Ovis aries: one gene and its partners. The protein of the gene in region 1 interacts with the protein of each later gene in a biochemical or structural test. Links are inferred from orthologs where the notes say so. Each region holds a gene or a part of one and is shown in the gene's direction. Other genes may lie near its edges.

Region 1 (3,936 bases):
CTGGGGGAAGCACAAGCTGGAATCAAGATTGCTGGGAGAATTATCAATAACCTCAGTTATGCACATGACACCACCCTTATGGCAGAAAGTGAGGAAGAACTAAAAAGCCTGTTGATGAAAGTGAAAGGGGAGAGTGAAAAAGTTAGCTTAAAACTCAACATTCAGAAAACTAAGATCATGGCATCTGGTCCCATCATTTCATGGCAAATAGATGGGTAACAGTGGACACAATGGCTGACTTTATTTTTCTGGGCTCCAAAATCACTGCAGATGGTGATTGCAGCCAAGAAATTAAAAGACACTTGCTCCTTGGAAGGAAAGTTATGACCAACCTAGACAACATATTAAAAAGCAGAGACATTACTTTGTCAACAAAGGTCCGTCTAGTCAAGGCTATGGTTTTTCCTGTGGTCATGTATGGATGTGAGAGTTGGACTATAAAGAAGGCTGAGCACCAAAGAATTGATGCCTTTGAACTGCGTTATTGGAGAAGACTCTTGAGAGTCCCTTGGACTGCAAGGAGATCCAACCAGTCCATCCTAAAGGAAATCAGTCTTGGGTGTTCATTGCTGGGACTGATGTTGAAGCTGCCACTCCAATACTTTGGCCACCTGATGCGAGGAGCTGACTCATTTGAAAAGACCCTGATGCTGGGAAAGATTAAGGGCAGGAGGAGAAAGGGATGACAGAGGATGAGATGGTTGGATGGCATCACCGACTCGATGGATATGGGTTTGGGTGGACTCCGGGAATTGGTGATGGACAGGAAGGCCTGGAGTGCTGCGATTCATGGGGTCACAAAGAGTCGGACACGACTGAGCGACTGAACTGAAGTGAACGGATGCGGGCTTTGCCCCCTCCACGGAGCCCAGTATTTTGTGTTGTAACTCAGTCAAGTTGAGGGTATCTCTGGTGCAGCACGTTTGCAGAGTGCCCTTGGGAATTTTCCCGGGTGATTTCCTATATTTGCCCAGCCACATAGAAAATGATCGAAAGTGAATAGGGAAGTAAGAAAACGCAAAGCACGGGGCGTACCCGAGCTCACTGTTCTTGGCCCTTCTCCGGACCCGTAGCCACGCCCTATTACGACTGCGTGGGCGATTCGCCTATAAAAGCCCGTCTCGCTGCGTTTCGTCGCCACTGTCTCTTCCTGTTTGCGGTTGCGTCTGTCGTTGTTTGTAGCTGGAGCCGCAGTGGCCGGGAAGATGGCGTCTACCAGCCGGTTAGTACGTCATGTAGAGCCCAGCCAGCTGAAGGGCGGGCGGCGAGTGCCGGGGCTAGCAGGGCGGCCGCTCCCGCTGCTTCGTCGAGCAGAACGCCTCGGAAGTGCGGGGAGAGGCAGCCGGACCGGCTGGCCGCCCGGGACAAAGGCACTTCCAGACGCAGGGCTGTCAGGGGTGTCGCAGGGGATAACGAGCCGCCGGCGTTTCTCCTCCAGCGTCCTTGGTCGTTTTCTCACTCAGGCACTATCATGTGGGGGGCTCCGGTGTCCCCAGCCCCTGGCCTCGGGTCTTTTGCGTATGATCCAACTGTCCTTTTTTCCTAAATTTTCTACGCTTGTTTTTTTTAATCTGTTGGTCTGCCAGCGGAGGGTCCGTGAATCCTCTTCTAGAGAGCGGGAAAGGGTTAGTTCTAGGCCTTTATCCATCTGACAAAAAGTTAGGGACGTCAGCGTTGGTAAACCTGATGGAAACTGATAACCATCCCCGAGGCCTTTTGAAGTGGAAGCTAAGGCATTTCTGAAGAGTTGATAAGTCTCCTTAAGAGATTTCTTTAGAGATGTCATCTGCATACTCCTGAAGAAAATTTTGCCTGCAGAAAATTAACATACTGGGAAGTCACTCAGAAGGCAACGCACTCTAGTGTTCTTGCCTGGAGAAGCCCAGGGACGGGGGAGCCTGGTGGGCTGCCATCTATGGGGTCGCACAGTGTCGGACACGATTGAAGCGACTTAACAGCAGCCGCAGCAGAGAAGTCACTAATATATTTTTAAAATGTGATGTACTGATTGATACCTACTGCAAATGCATACAGTGGCATTAGAGACAGCCTTTAATCCTGTGACGTGAAAAATGCTTGCAGACCCTAATTATGTCTCTCATGACCCTGAGGTAGATATTAGGATTTTTGCCTAAGTGTAAACTGAGTCATGCCCATGTTGGCTTTTCGAAGGTTAGTATTAGAACAGAGTATAGAATCTCAGATATCTGTTTCCTGTTGTCACACTTGGTAACTCATAATGTACTAAACATATCAGATTAAGTTCTGTAGCTTCTGGAAGGCAAGGTAACTCTGGCATAATTTTTCTGAACTTGTTCTCATCTTTGGAATTGAGTTCCTGATGAAAGCCATCATCACAAAATGATAATCTTTGAGTAGTACAGGCCCTTTCTGGTGAGTACCAAGGCTTACTACTTTGTGTTACTGTATTTTAAAAAGATGGGGCAGGAGGCAGCCTTAGCTAAACTACTTGGAAACAGCTCTTATGGCCAGTGATACTTGTTTACTGATTCTAATTCTGTGATTAAATGTTCAATCATTCTACTTGGGTGTGGCTCTGTCAGGTTAGGGTTCCTTGTAGGTAAATGGAGAACTAGCTTCCCAAGAACACCTATATATAACATTCTCCTAGGGCAGATCTGCTATGAATATGGTTATATTGGGGCTTTATTATAACATATTGTAGTAGTTACATATAGGAAATTCACTTGATAGATTCTTTACGGAAACATTTCCTTTGTGTGCTTTATTCTCTTCATTAAAAGAAAAAATGTGAGATATTTCTTTGAAATAAATTTTCCCTAGGTTTATTGCAGTTGTCCATCTCTGAGTTTTTTTTACCCGTGAGAACAAAGGTGGATGTTAGTATTTCTGTGATAGCTTTTTTCCCCCTGAGGAAGAGGGACAGTTACTGGACTATGAAACTGCTTGGTGTTTTCACAGAGAAGAACACAAATGTTGTGAGTTCAGATCTAAACTCTACCACTCATTAGTTCTGTGACTTCAGGAAAATCATTCTCTGAGCATAATCTTTAAAATAGAGGTAATGCTTAATTTGTGGAGAAGGCAATGGCACCCTGCTCCAGTACTCTTGCCTGGAAAATCCCATGGAAGGAGCAGCCTGGAAGGCTGCAGTACATGGGGTTGCTGAGGGTCGGACACGACTAACTTCACTTTCGATTTTCACTTTCATGCATTGGAGAAGGAAATGGCAACCCACTCCATTGTTCTTGCCTGGGGAATCCCAGGGATGGGGGAGCCTCCTGGGCTGCCGTCTGTGGGGTCGCACAGAGTTGGACACGACTGAAACAGCTTAGCAGCAGTAGCAGCAATGCTTAATTTGAAGGGTTGCTAATGAAGATTAATAATAGATGTACAGTACTAGACACAGTAAAGGATAGCTATAAAATGAAGTTAGGAATTATGTGGCTTCTTAGGCAGCCTAAGTTGTTTTAATGTCAGTGGTGGTGGTATACTCCATTCCTTCCCTCTTGTTTCTTTCCCTGACTTCCCCCACTACCCTACTCTTGTGGTTCCTCTTTTGTATTACCCTTGTGGGTTATTTAATTAAAAGTTAACTGCTTGAGCACAATTTTATTTTATTTTGAATAGGTAACACATGCAAATCATAAAAAGCAAGAAGAAAAGTGAAAAGCAGTTTCTTTTTTCCCTCGCTCCTAGCCATCTAATTCTTCTCCAAAGCAGTCATTGTAACCAGTTTCTTGGTGTTTTCCTAATGATTCTGTGGTTTAACAAACATATTCATATAATCCTAACCTCTCTTCCTTCCAAAAAGTAGTCTAATATAAAAAATGAATGCCATCTTGCTTTTTACCTTTTTTTGTGAAGTTTTTAGCACACAGATTTTAAGTGTGCAGTTCAGTTACAAAGTGAGCATGTACACTTAGCTGTCACCCAAGTCTCCCGAATAAATAC
Region 2 (3,500 bases), about 120 Mb from region 1:
CTTAAGCCTTGGAATGACAGAAAGCCTCAAGGACCACAAGTTTGAATCTAGGTGCTACTTTGTTATCTCTTATATTTATTCATGCCTGAGTATTTATAATCCAAAATAAATATTATAACTATTCCCTTTTATTTTTCCTTTATTACAGGTCAGGTATTATATCCCTTCCCCTGTATGTGTATGTTATTGGCTATTTAGAAATACCTTTATAGTACTGTGGATATAAATATATTTCTTATAAAAAGGTATTAAATCTAATAAGGTTAATAACTACTGATTTTAAATAAAAGGGTCAGGAGAAACTAGTATTAATAACAGTATGATTCCCTGTTGAAACAGTTCAATAGGATGTCTGTTAGAAATTTTCTTGTAGTGTAGGGACACATTAAATTGATATTCAAGCACTTTGTTAACAAGTGCTTTCTAAGCACGTTGGACTTTCCTGGTGGCTCAGATGGTAAAGCATCTGCCTACAATGCGGGAGACCCAGGTTTGATCCCTGGGTCGGGAAGATCCGCTGGAGAAGGAAATGGCAACCCACTCCAGTAATCTTGCCTGGAAAATCCCATGGACGGAGGAGCGTGGTAGGCTACAGTCCATGGGGTTGCAAAGAGTCGGACACGACTGAGTGACTTCACTTTTTTCACTCTAAGCACATTACATTCTCATTAATTCACCACAACCTCATTGAGGCAGTTGATATTATCCTTATTTCTCAGGGAGTAAAGTGTGCCTTGAAGTTGTTAAGGAATTTGCTTAGAGTCACACAGCCACAAATTCAAATCCCAGGCTCTTTAACAGTCACATGGAAGTCTAGTTTATGCCGGTTTGGGCTTCTAGAAGACCGTACTCTGGGTACAGTTAGCTTCTGCTTGTCCTGCAGGGGATCCAGTATTTAAGGATATCTTGGTCTTTGTTGTTGTTTTTAAGAACTGTATAGCATTTGCTTATTTGGTCATTTATCTTTTCAAGGTTGGTAAAGTGGTATGTAGTTGTTCATTTCTTTCGGATTTTTAACAGTAATTTTGCCAGTCCCCCCAACTGGTCATTATTTAGGTGTTTTATTGGTTTCTTATGAGTTTATTATGAGAGCCAGACTGTGTAGAACATCCTACAATCTATCTTGGTAGAAAAATTTTACTCAAGAAATAAAGACACTTAAAAGAGTATGCTAACTGCTAACTAAGTTTCTCAGGGTTTTTTTTCCCCCCAGCATTCCCAAAGATGTGTAGCTTTAAGAATAATGAATGAGACTTTATTTAGCCTTTTTGTGTTTCTCTTTCTGAAATAAAGTGGGTTTGATACAATATATCATTGTATCATTGCTGTAAATAATGTTGCTTTTTGGAATTAAACACTCTGTAGGTCATGAAAATAACCATTTAAGAAATATGTCAAGCTTTTTATGTGTAATCTTTTGTGTACTCTAAAGGAATATCTTGTTCTCTTGTTACATGCTTGGGCATTATAAATCTTTTAAAAACAACACTTTGAGTACTATTGTGGTACTCCAAGAATACTGGTTATCAGCTACTTAATGGGTTGATTATTTTAGATTTAAAATGATTGCTTTGTCCATATTCTAGATAATTTTCTCTCTCTCTCTCTTTTTTTTTTTTCTGACCGTACATTTGAAATTGAAGTTTGCTGCTAAAGATGGCAGATCCAGATGTCCTCACTGAGGTTCCTGCAGCATTGAAGCGGCTAGCAAAGTACGTGATCCGGGGATTTTATGGCATTGAGCATGCTTTGGCCTTGGACATCTTGATCCGAAACCCCTGTGTGAAAGAGGAGGACATGCTGGAGCTTCTCAAATTTGATCGGAAGCAACTTCGATCAGTCTTGAATAATTTAAAGGGAGACAAGTTCATCAAGTGCAGAATGAGGGTAGAGACTGCTGCAGATGGGAAAACCACTCGCCACAACTACTACTTCATCAATTATCGTACTCTTGTTAATGTGGTAAAATATAAATTGGACCACATGAGAAGGAGGATTGAAACTGATGAGAGAGATTCCACCAACCGGGCTTCCTTCAAATGTCCTGTCTGTAGTAGTACTTTTACAGACTTAGAAGCTAATCAGCTGTTTGATCCCATGACAGGTGAGATTTTTCCAGTTAATGAATCTTTCTTTTAAGTAACTTTTTAGAATAAAGTGTATATCCTTTATCTTAAATTGATTTACATAGTTTTTAAACTGATTATATGTATCATTGTGTGCTCAGTTGTGTCCAACTCTTTGTGGCCCCATGGACTGTAGCCTGTCTGGCTCCTCTGTCCATGGGATTTCCCAGGCAAGCATACTGGAGTGGGTTGCCATTCCCTACTTCAGAGGATCTTCCTGACCCAGAGATCAAACTCTCACCTTTTGCATCTCCTGCACTGACAGGTGAATTCTTTACTACTAGCGCCACCTGGGAAGCTCTGTAGTGTAGTGTAGTATAGTATAGTATAGTATAGTATAGTATAGTATAGTATAGTATAGTAAAGTGAAGTCGCTTAGTCGTGTCCAACTCTTTGCGACCCCGTGAACTGTAGCCTACCAGGCTTCTCTGTCCATGGGATTCTCCAGGCAAAATTACTGGAGTGGGTTACCATTTGCTTCTCCAGGGGATCTTCCCGACCCAGGGATCGAACCTGGGTCTCCAGCATTGGAGGCAGACGCTTTAACCTCTGAGCCACCAGGGAAGCTATATCATTATAAAAGGGAATATATTGGTGTAAGTAAGCATATAGTCATTCTTAGCCTTAATGTCCAATTTGTCATACTACTTTTAGGAGCTATTGCAAAGCATTTCTCCTTTACAAGGGATTTACTCATCCATGGACTATTCTTTCACCCATGGCCCTTCCACCTCTCCTTCCACTCCCATCCCTTGTTTACAACTGCAGCCTAATCTGAAGGGTTTACTTTCCCTACCACTTTGAGGCTATTCTGACTTTACTGAGTTTACTTTTGACCTTTTCATTCAGCAAATATTTGAGCATTTTCTTGTGCCAATCACTGCCAGACAGTTATAATAAATGCTTATTATTAGTACTTAAATACTTGGTTAGTAGAAATGCAAAGTGCTCTCAGGAGGACATAACTAGGGCGGCTAATCTGGTTTTGGGAAGGCCTCTGAAAGAAATTAAATAGCAGGGGCCTAAAAGATAAGTTAAAGTTAACCAGATGAAATAAGAGGGAGCACCCTTTCCGCTTAAGTTAACAATATATATTTAGTTTCTTAGCCAGTCATTGATGGAAGAGAATTGTCAACAAGAGTTATAAATTGTTTCATTTCATTAAATACTTAGTTTTAAGGATTTTTCTGATCAACACAGAATTTACAAAACGTGTTTTCTGAAAATATAACGTCTAACATTAACATGAGAAACTTTAAATTGCTGACTTGTATAGTTGTGTTGCTATTTGTAAATTGGAAAATAGACTATAGTTTTACTAATTACTTAGTAGATCAATCTTGTATTAAAAATCTGTAAAAACCTAAGAAAGAA
Region 3 (3,500 bases), on another chromosome or scaffold:
TTTGAAGCTAGCCTCTCTCTCATAGTAATTCTGCTGATGCACAAAAGATTGTTCTCCGACAGCTTTTACCCGGCCTGCCGATGCTTTATTGACCAGGTGGGCTGCTGCAGTCTCTGTTGCTGTTTAGTCACTAACTCACGTCCGACTGTTTTGCGACCCCACAGACTGTAGCCCACCAGGCTCCTCCGTCCATGGGATTCTCCAGGCGAGAATACTGGAGTGGGTTGCCATTGCCTTCTCCAGGGGATCTTCTTGGCCCAGAGATCGAACTCGCATCTCCTTCATTGGCAGGAGAGTTCTTTACCATGAGCCGCCAAGGAAGCCCTACAGTGTATATATACCTGTCCTCTAACAAGTTTCTGAGGCTTTATCAAGATAAAGTTTGGAAAAAAAAAAATGAAAAGCTTAATCAACTGACATGAATGCGAGCAAATTGCATGTTTTCAATAAAGAGTTAACTTTTTTACAAATGCACACATATATGCATTTGTAAACCACGGGATGGTGTCACCATTTGTGCCATTGCTTACTTCATTTTACAGAAGAAGCAAGTTCAAGGAGGCCATGGGGTTGGGAGGAGAAAAGGCCGCCTGTCACCACCCTTGTTCTTTGCTTTTTACCAAGATTTGATTTCCCAAGCTTTTCCTCCCTAGAAAACCTATTATCTGATCTGCCTGCCCCTCAGCCTTCTTCCTGCCCTGAAAAACTGTCATTTTGAAAGATATTACCTACCAAATGGCATCGAGCAGATAAACTCTTTTACTGTATTTTGGGTAATCATTGGAGAAGGAAATAGCAATCCACTCCAGTACCTTTGCCTGGAAAATCCCATGGACAGAGGAGCTTGGTAGGCTACAGTCCATGGGGTTGCAAAGAGTCGGACACGACTGAGCGACTCCACTTGGGTAATCAAAAACCAAGAGTTGCAAATAGACTTTGTGATCCACATGATGTGATTTCTGTGAAGATGGGCTTTGGGGGAGGAAATGGACACATTACATAAAGCTTTAGGGAACGGTGAAAATGCTTTACTGGTGGGCACTAACCTTCCTGGAGCCGTAAAGGTCTGAGGAGCCCTGAGAGTGGTGAAGGCCACAGGTACTGAACCACCACTCTTTGACCTGCTGCCTTGCGATTTAATACCTAACAGTGGAGGACGGAAAAGAGTCCCTGGGTTTCAGAGTGAGCACGCTGAACTGATGCCTTCGGGACTTTTGCTTTTTCCACATAGATTGAATATGAAAGGAAAAAGAAAGAAGATGGAAAACGAGCCCGAGCTGATAAACAACACGTTTTGGACATGCTGTTTTCAGCTTTTGAGAAGCATCAGTATTATAACCTGAAGGACTTGGTGGACATCACAAAACAACCTGTGGTATGTATATGCTCACACTGATCCTTTAAATGGGTTTAAATTGGCTTCATTAACACGGCTTTACTGAAGAGAAGCATATTGTGAATTAGTATGTTCGCTTGCACCTATGCTGGTGGCAGGTTTAGTTCCAGCATGGAAAAGATGCCTCCGCGTAAACTTCCTTCCTGTCTTCCCCTCTCTTCCTTTCTCTCTGCTTCTTTTTTTAATCTCAGCTTCACTGTTTGAATTTTAAATACCTTTAGTATCAGTAGTTCGTATGGAGACGAGGCGGATTTGTCCTCCTTTTGACTGACCCTTGGCGTTAAGCCTGAAGTCTCTTGTTTACAGCATTTCTACTCTTCCGTTTGTTCTTCTGCCTCCCTCTAGAAAAGCTCAACTTTAAGAGTCACTGTTTTTTCACAGTGAGTGTGTATCCCTGTCTCGTGAACTGTTCTCTGTGGATTTTTTTAAAAATCATCTAGCACTAACATTAGGTCCTTTCAAACTTGAGCTGTAGAGCCTCACAGTGCTTGTTGAGATTATGCTTGGGTTGGCCTAGTCTCCATTTTCAAGGAAATTTTTAATAAGTTGATGTTTTAGAGAAGTTTTGTTCTATAAATAATCGTTTTTTAATCACTTCTCCAGACGTTTGTATTAATACCTATCTGCAAATAATCTGTGTTTCTAATCCATTTAAAATGCTGGAAACAAGGAATTGAAACCCTTTCTCTAGTCTTTGGGCCATGTTTCCTTCCATTTAGCTCTCTCACACCTAAGCTTAGCAAAGTGTCAGATTGAATTATAGCAGTATTTTACTTACAGGTTTTTAAAAATTAGGTGGAAACCCCTTTATTTTTGTCCTCTTACCCAGTTTTCCTTTATCATTTTATCCACCTTGCCAGGATACCCAAGAATATGTTAATTCTAACTGCTCCATTTATTTGCTTCAGCATATGTAACAAGATAACCGGTTTTGTGAAATATTTTGACATAAATGGCTCCATGGTTTGTTTGGTTTTTTTTATGTATTCAAAGCTTCAGGAAATTATTTCTGAAACTTCAGTATTGATGGTGCAGTTTCCCACTTCTGTAGAGATTTCTTTACTGTTACACTTCATCCTTTCACTATTTCATTAAGAAAGAAATTAGAATTCCAAAAGACCTAAATACTTTTCTTTAACCAAAGAGAAGGAAAGTGCTCATGCTGGCAGTATTATCAACTCATCTTAATGACTTCACTCCCTTCAGCATCAAAGCCTTAGAAACAGCATTCCAAGCTAGATTAGAAAATTTGAAATAGAATAATTCATAAGCTAAACTCCATTTCTTCTGCTTTTAATGAAGTTTATCTTTGTATTTTTATATATACATGAAAAGGCTATTCCAGATATTCTGGATGCAAATGACATAGTCTCATAGAATAAAACACACACACACAGTTAGATGTGGGAAAATAAGTGTTTATAGAGGGACATTCAGATAAGTACTAAGCAAAGCTCTTTCTTTGCCTTCACAGGGAAAGACATAATATTTTTAAAGTTTATTCATTTTGCAGCAGAGAAAAAGAATAACTAGCTTTCTCTCCGTCTTGGCTGTTCAGATAATTTTTATCTGGCGGAACTCAGTGACTCTCTTAACAGAACCTCTTAATTCATGGTCAGTAGGCTTAGGAGATCCAGCAACCCCCTGAATATGTACAGAAATGTGTGGATTTTTCTGGGGAGCAGGTTTGTAGTTTATGTCAGATTCTCAGAGAACCTCGGAACCTCAAAGAGCTTGAGAACCACTGATCTAGAAACTGAATTATTTTATAGTAGTTTTATTATGTAGGGACTAAATTGCCTCTAAAGCATTAAGTTTTTGAAGGCAGGTTTGTATATTATTCACATCCCTAAATATTCATACATTCCACAACACAAACATAGTAGCAATCTAGTAAATATTAGATAAATTGATTTAAGGAAAAGGAGACGGTGACATCCTTTACCTTTTAGGACCAGCGTATTTTCCTCAGGTGGATTTTGACAGACCTCCTGTTGTCTGTGGCAGGAGCGGGGTACAAAGAGCTGTCTCAGTAAAGCATAGAGTGCCGGAGCTGCAGTTACTCTCGTGTAGAGGATAGGACTGGACGTGGTCACCATGGGCT
Region 4 (3,069 bases), on another chromosome or scaffold:
TACTGAGGACTCCAGGAAATGAACTTCCAGGAACGAGATAATGTTAGAAACTAAGAATTCAATGAGGAAAGCTCACAGGAAGTTTACAGATGGATTGGGCTGACATTGGTCAACTGCAGTTTAAAAGTAGCCAGTAGGATACGTGAAAATAAAAAGGCTTTGGAGCCCCAAGGCCAGAAAACCAGGATGAACCAGTGTGTGTGGGGGTGGGGGGCTCAGGAGGGAAGGATTCATTGCCAGAGCGTGTATGAATGGGTCTTGAATACTGCCTGGGTCAGGTGGAGAAACAGCAGTTGTGATCGCTTTGGTTCTCGTAGGACTGTATGCTTCATGATGGCAGAGATGTTTACCTTTTGTGCGTGGTTATGTTCTTCAGGCCTAGAGCAGAGCTGGGCATGGAGTAGGTGCCGGCAGAGTTGCTGAATTGGTTGGTGTGAGGAGCCAATGGGAATGGTTGAATCTTGGCTGCAGAGGTGTAGTCAGCAAATTCTAGACAACCTTGACCCTGGGCTGGGCAGGAGCCGCATTTTCCTGCAGGTCAGCCCGGGAGACTGCCGGTGGTTCAGGGCTTCCTTCCTTATTCCCACACCTTCAGGCGCCCCCAACACCGCTGAGCTTAAGATCTGCCGGGTAAATCGGAACTCTGGGAGCTGCCTCGGCGGGGACGAGATCTTCCTGCTGTGTGACAAGGTGCAGAAAGGTACACAGCCAGAAGGAGGGCTGGACCCAGGAGCAGGAGGCAAGGGGCAAGGCTGAGCAGACACACTAAGTGTTAAGGAGCTGGTTTAAGCACTGTCCCCAACTCTTTGGGGACAGCAGGGCCATGCATCTCTAGAGACTAGTATCGGCAATTGCAGGGGGCGGCGGGCTGGGGAAGCTGAGCACCCACACGGCCGCCCTGTCTCCTGCAGAGGACATCGAGGTGTATTTCACGGGACCAGGCTGGGAGGCCCGAGGCTCTTTTTCACAAGCTGACGTGCACCGGCAAGTGGCCATCGTGTTCCGGACGCCGCCCTATGCGGACCCCAGCCTGCAGGCCCCTGTGCGTGTCTCCATGCAGCTGCGGCGGCCTTCTGATCGGGAGCTCAGCGAGCCCATGGAATTCCAGTACTTGCCAGACACAGGTACCCAGCTGGGCAGGGCAGCAGCAGGGCTGTGGGCTCCAGCCGGTGGGAGTGAGGCCGGGCTGGATGCCACAGCTGTAGGTGAAGGTCAGAAGCTGGGGTTGGGCAGATTTCCATAGTAATCAGATTCTTCTTCTCACCTCATTTAATAGTGGTGCCCAAGACTTACTGAGCTCTTGTGATATGTGTGGCCCTATTCCAGGCATATCAGTGAATTACCTGATTTTATTCTCTCATGAACCTTTTGAGGTGGGAGATAGCATCTAACTTGCCTTAGGTCACATAGCTAGTGAGTTATAGACCCAGACCTCATTTGAACCCAGGCCATCTGGCTTCTGGGACCTGTTGCCACAGTGTATCTATACTTATCACCACCACACAGCCATGCTGTGGTCAGGGCTTTCGGGCATCTGCTCAAATAGGAACAGCCAAAGTGATCCTTTATCTGAAGCCTGTCATCCAGCCTGAAAGTGTGTCCTGCCCTGGGACCTGTTTAACAGTCTGGAAAACAAGGCCTGAAACAGCCATCAGTTCATCCCACCAGATGAGGACTGAGTGTCCACTTGGCACCAGGCTCTGCGCCAGGTATCATCAATCCAAAGATGGATAAGACACGTTCCCTGCCCTTTGGGAGCTCGGTCACATGAGGAAGGCACACATGCAAAACAGCAGCCTGTGTCACAGAATGACGCGTGAAGCAGCGAGGTGTGTGCAGAATACTGTGGGAACTGGAACCGGCCGCGTGGAGGAGGTAGCATTTAGATTGGAGAAAGACCCAGAAGCGCATTCTCTAGGCGGGTGGAGCAGAAGGGCAGGGAACGGGCACAGCACGTTTGGGGACAGCTTTGTGGCAAGAGTTCACGTCGTCGGGTAGTGAGCAGGCTCCGGCAGAAGGGCCTTGAAGGCTGGACTTGCGTTCATCTGGGGTCACATCCTAAGGCCTCGGGAGCCACCAAAGGTTTCTGAACAGAGAAGTGACGTGAGCAGGTCTGGAAGCAGCGTGCAGAGCATCTGAGAGGGGGGACATGGGGTGGGGAGGTTTCGGAAGATGTTCCGGTCGTTCCGGGAGAAAAGGTGCTGTGTGAACCTCACAGACAGAACGCACGAGACCGTCTCACCCACTGCAGGCCTCCTCCAAGACCCTGAGCCCAAGGGCCCTTTGTGTCCTCCTGGGGACCTGTGCTCTAGCTGTTGCCTCTGCTCGAAACGCTTGGCCCCCAGATCTTCACACGGTGGGCTCACACCGGTGCTTCCCTGGACCCCTCGACCTTACCTCTGGCGCTGTTACTCGCCCTGGTCTCCTCCTCAGCTCCTATCACTTGTGTCAGTGCCCCTCTGTCCCTTGGATGTCACAGCTTTGGGGAACAGGAACCTTGTCTGCTTATTCAGGGCCATACCTCCAGTGGCTCTAATGGAGCCTGGCACGCAGATGCTTGGTGAACATGTGTCTAGAGGGTGAATGGTGGGGAGTGAGAAAGAGGAAGCTGCTGAGGATGTGTCCAAGGTTTGGGAACAGGGCAAAAGAGGTAGGGCGGGAACACCAAAGGGGAGGGAACCAGGATCAGGTGCTTGAGGTGAGACGGTGAGGTTGGCTTTGGGCTCTTGACGTCAAGTGCTTTGGGCTTCTCCAAGTGCTGCAGTAGTTAGAGAGTTCGGAAAGCTCCAGACTAAACTCAGAAATGATCAGAGAGAAGGTTAAGAGTCTGTTGAAGTCTTAAGCCAGCCTGTCATGCTCGGGCTGCCCCAGAAAGCAGAGCGCGCAGCACCAGGCCTGGTCAGGGCTGGACGGGAGCAGGGACGTCAGCAGTGCAGGTGAGAGAAGCCTGAGGTGGGACCCTGCGACGGCTCCTGGCTCCTGACTTGGGGTCACCTGTGTGGCCTTTGGAGGCCACATTCAGCTAATGGAGGTCTCAAAAAGTCACGGCATTCTTATATTCGTGGAGTG
Region 5 (3,661 bases), on another chromosome or scaffold:
CAAGGAAGATTCCGGAGGGGAATCCAGAGGGGTCTGACACTAGAGCACTGTGCTCTTTAGGGCCCATCTAACAGGTCCTTCCAGAAAGGACCATGTCGTGTATAGTGCACAGGAGCCCTAAGTCTGCTCTGTGAGGGCAGGAAGCCCACCTTTTCCAGATGTGGGAATCCAGGCTCAGGCAGTCAGCGGGCCAGCCTTCCAGCCTCAGGTTTTGCTAGGAGAACCCAGATGGCCCTGGAGAGAGGGATGCAGGGGGTGTTGTCTGGATGTGGCACTAGTCCTTCTTCCCCACACAGACTGTGACCTTGAACTCCCTGCAGGTTCAAGGGCATAAAGAAGGGCGGCGTGACAGAAAACACCTCCTACTACATCTTCACCCAGTGCCCTGATGGGGCTTTCGAGGCCTTCCCTGTCCACAACTGGTATAACTTCACGCCGCTGGCCAAGCACCGCACGCTCACGGCCGAGGAGGCTGAGGAGGAGTGGGAGAGGTGAGTGATGGGGCCACGCCTAGAAAAGGGCTGCAACCCCCCGACATTGTGCCTGGCTGGGAGCTGGGGACTCAGCGGTGAGCAAGCCAGATCTCTCCACTGCTCAGGAGCACCCAGTCCAGGGGGCAGATGGACTGGAGACAGCGGGGAGAGGGACTGGAGAAGTGGGGAGTTGGATCCGGTGCTAGGGTGTCAGCATCACACGAGACCTTCTCCTGAGGGACTCTGGGCAGGCAGGGAACCAAAGGAGGGCCAGCTCTCCCTGTGTGCTCTCAGGGTCTTTCTGCCACGTGCTTGTGTCCCCATGTTCAGGGTCAGGTCGTCCCTCTCATCACCTAAGTTGTGTCAGTGGCTCTCCCTCGGGGCACACCTGGTGGAAGTGCAGGGAGGCATCAGTGGATGAGGCCCACTCCCAGAGGGGGTCCCCGGAGCCAGGCCCGCTGCCAGCCCCTGCTGTAACACTGCCCCCCGCCCCACAGGAGAAACAAGGTCCTGAACCACTTCAGCATCATGCAGCAGCGGCGGCTGAAAGACCAGGACCAGGACGAGGAGGATGAGGAGAAGGAGAAGCGCAGCAGAAAGAAGGCCAGCGAGCTGCGCATCCACGACCTGGAGGACGACCTGGAGATGTCGTCGGATGACAGCGAGGCCAGCGGCGAGGAGGGTGAGGCAGATGTAGCCAGCCCTGGGCAGCTGGGGCCGCAGTTGTAATTAATTCAGGTCTTGTGTGATGACTCAGAAAAGTGAATGCCCCTGAAAGGATTGCTTGGTTACTTGCAGACCCCTGTTCCCCCAGGAGCTTGGCCGCTGGGGGAAGCACCAGGGTTGGTTAGGAGGCCCCAGGAAGGTCTTTCTTGGCCATGGCCTCACCTGGGATTTCCATGGGAATGGCCTTAAGACTGGCCAGTTTGAGTCGTGCCAGCAGCCTCTGGGCCAAGGGGTGGTCTCTGGTTGCCCGGTGGCTGGCTGGCCCAGGTGATTTAGGGCAGCAATGGCAGCCCTGAGTGTGAGTTAGAGAAAGGGGTTGTCTAGGGGTGTGAAGTTGGGATTGCTTGCTTGGCGGTGGGTGATTGGTACAACCCTGGGCCAGCTCTCTGCCTCCTGGAGGAATTAGGGCCGTTCCTGGCATCACCACAGCCCCTGAGATGTCCAGGCATCATTAGATACACACAACACGATGCATGCCCGTCTGAGCCCCTCACCTTGTCTGTCCCTCCCCAGGTGGCAGAGCCCCCAAGACCAAGAAGAAGGCACTGCCCAGCAAGGGGGGCCGGAAGAAGAAGAAGAAGAAGGGCTCAGATGATGAGGCCTTTGAGGACAGTGATGACGGGGACTTCGAGGGCCAGGAGGTGGACTATATGTCCGATGGTTCCAGGTGAGGCAGGCGGGAGGCGGGTGTGAGACCCTGGGCCGGCCTGCAGACGTGCTTACTCACCCTCTGCCCGCTCTCTGTCTTACAGCAGCTCCCAGGATGAGCTGGAAGGCAAGCCCAAGGCCACCCAGCAGGAGGAGGGCCCCAAGGGCGTGGATGAGCAGAGTGAGAGCAGCGAAGAGAGTGAGGAGGAAAAGCCACCTGAGGAGGACAAGGAGGAGGAGGAGGAGAAGAAGGCGCCCACGCCGCAGGAGAAGAAGCGGAGGAAAGGTGGGTTGTTCCCTCTGAGGCCCTGATCTGGGACAGGGCTGAGAGCTGGCTCAGGGGTCTCCGGTCCTGACATCCCCTCCTCTGGCCCCTTGCAGACAGCAGCGAGGAGTCCGACAGCTCGGAGGAGAGTGACATCGACAGTGAAGCCTCCTCAGCACTCTTCATGGCGGTAAGGCCCAGCCGAGGCAGGGCTGGCCAGGGAGGACGGTGGGGGGCCCCTCTCCTGACATGTATGCTCAGTTGCGATCTCCACAGAAAAAGAAGACGCCCCCCAAAAGGGAGCGGAAGCCATCAGGGGGCAGTTCCAGGGGTAACAGCCGGCCAGGCACGCCCAGCACTGAGGCAGGCAGTACTTCTTCCACCCTCCGGGCAGCCGCCAGCAAGCTGGAGCAGGGTGAGTAGTACCCCACCATCCCACCCTGCCCGCCCTACCCCGCTGTTGACCCCATCCTGGTCTTCCTGTTCCGCATCCTCTGAGCCCCTTGCACACATGATCCCAGCACTGTCCTCCCACCCCCCTACCCAGTGGTCCAGCCTCCCAGACCTGGTCTCAGTCCCACCGCCACCTCCCACAGGGAAGCGCACCAGCGAAACGCCGGCAGCTAAGCGGCTGCGACTGGACGCTGGGCCCCAGAGCTTGTCCGGGAAATCCACTCCTCAGCCCCAGTCTGGGAAGTCAACCCCCAGCAGTGGGTAAGTGGGCGAGCACAGCAGGGGCCGGTGGGGGGTGGGGGTCAGGGGGCTCAGGGACAGAGGACGCCCGCTGACACCCAGCTCCCCACCTCCAGTGACGTTCAAGTGACTGAAGACGCCGTGCGCCGCTACCTGACACGGAAGCCCATGACCACCAAGGACCTGCTGAAGAAGTTCCAGACCAAGAAGACGGGGCTGAGCAGCGAGCAGACAGTGAATGTGCTGGCTCAGATCCTGAAGCGCCTGAACCCTGAGCGCAAGATGATCAACGACAAGATGCATTTCTCCCTCAAGGAGTGACGCTCCCCCCAATAAACATGGTCTATTTTCCACAATCCTCAGGGTCTTCATACCCACACTCGCTGCCTCTTGTCCCACCGCCTGTAGACACCTCTTAGGACTTAACCCTCTCCTTAGCCCCTCAGCCTCCTCCGTGGAGCTGCTGGCTGATTTCTTTCAGCTCTGTCTTTCACTTGGCTGGTTCTCTCTTCAGCTGTGGCTTATCCACCTGCTGAACCCGTTAAAAGGGCTTCTCAGGTGGCTCAGTGGTGAAGAATCTGCTCTGCCTGTGCAGGGGACGCAGGTTCAATCCCTGGGTCAGGAAGTTTCCCTGGAGGCACCCACTCCAGTATTCTCGTCTGGGAAATCCCATGAATAGAGGAGCCTGGTGGGGCTACAGTCCATGGGGTGGCAGAGTCGGACGTGATTGAGCACACATGCACAAACCCATAAGTACTTATGTCACTGTCTTTCAGTTCTGCAAAGTATGTTTCTCTTTCAGATCAGTAGGTCTATTTTGAGTGTATGGCCCCTTCTGTTTTTGATGCCTTCTTTT

What was found.
Region 2: the proteins of GTF2B (region 1) and GTF2E1 form a complex in vitro, tested with the Homo sapiens proteins (2 studies listed by BioGRID). The link is inferred for Ovis aries from reciprocal best matches to the Homo sapiens genes GTF2B and GTF2E1.
Region 3: the proteins of GTF2B (region 1) and GTF2F2 form a complex in vitro, tested with the Homo sapiens proteins (2 studies listed by BioGRID and IntAct). The link is inferred for Ovis aries from reciprocal best matches to the Homo sapiens genes GTF2B and GTF2F2.
Region 4: the proteins of GTF2B (region 1) and RELA form a complex in vitro, tested with the Homo sapiens proteins (2 studies listed by BioGRID and IntAct). The link is inferred for Ovis aries from reciprocal best matches to the Homo sapiens genes GTF2B and RELA.
Region 5: the proteins of GTF2B (region 1) and GTF2F1 form a complex in vitro, tested with the Homo sapiens proteins (3 studies listed by BioGRID and IntAct). The link is inferred for Ovis aries from reciprocal best matches to the Homo sapiens genes GTF2B and GTF2F1.

What each region holds. Positions count from the first base shown.
Region 1 is NC_056054.1:66,124,062-66,127,997, reverse strand, and holds the start of GTF2B (transcription initiation factor IIB), read left to right. Parts: upstream 1-1,136; 5' UTR 1,137-1,205; coding exon 1,206-1,222; intron 1,223-3,936. UniProt on the Homo sapiens protein: General transcription factor that plays a role in transcription initiation by RNA polymerase II (Pol II). Involved in the pre-initiation complex (PIC) formation and Pol II recruitment at promoter DNA.
Region 2 is NC_056054.1:186,281,634-186,285,133, forward strand, and holds part of GTF2E1 (general transcription factor IIE subunit 1), read left to right. Parts: exon of another isoform or gene 1-13; coding exon of another isoform or gene 14-51; intron 52-1,643; coding exon 1,644-2,104; intron 2,105-2,618; exon of another isoform or gene 2,619-2,690; intron 2,691-3,500.
Region 3 is NC_056063.1:15,776,973-15,780,472, forward strand, and holds part of GTF2F2 (general transcription factor IIF subunit 2), read left to right. Parts: intron 1-1,231; coding exon 1,232-1,375; intron 1,376-3,500. UniProt on the Homo sapiens protein: TFIIF is a general transcription initiation factor that binds to RNA polymerase II and helps to recruit it to the initiation complex in collaboration with TFIIB.
Region 4 is NC_056074.1:40,276,238-40,279,306, reverse strand, and holds part of RELA (transcription factor p65), read left to right. Parts: intron 1-595; coding exon 596-700; intron 701-911; coding exon 912-1,124; intron 1,125-3,069. UniProt on the Homo sapiens protein: NF-kappa-B is a pleiotropic transcription factor present in almost all cell types and is the endpoint of a series of signal transduction events that are initiated by a vast array of stimuli related to many biological processes such as inflammation, immunity, differentiation, cell growth, tumorigenesis and apoptosis.
Region 5 is NC_056058.1:15,928,121-15,931,781, forward strand, and holds the end of GTF2F1 (general transcription factor IIF subunit 1), read left to right. Parts: intron 1-320; coding exon 321-491; intron 492-970; coding exon 971-1,155; intron 1,156-1,712; coding exon 1,713-1,866; intron 1,867-1,951; coding exon 1,952-2,133; intron 2,134-2,228; coding exon 2,229-2,830; 3' UTR 2,831-2,921; coding exon of another isoform or gene 2,922-3,126; 3' UTR 3,127-3,161; downstream 3,162-3,661. UniProt on the Homo sapiens protein: TFIIF is a general transcription initiation factor that binds to RNA polymerase II and helps to recruit it to the initiation complex in collaboration with TFIIB. It promotes transcription elongation.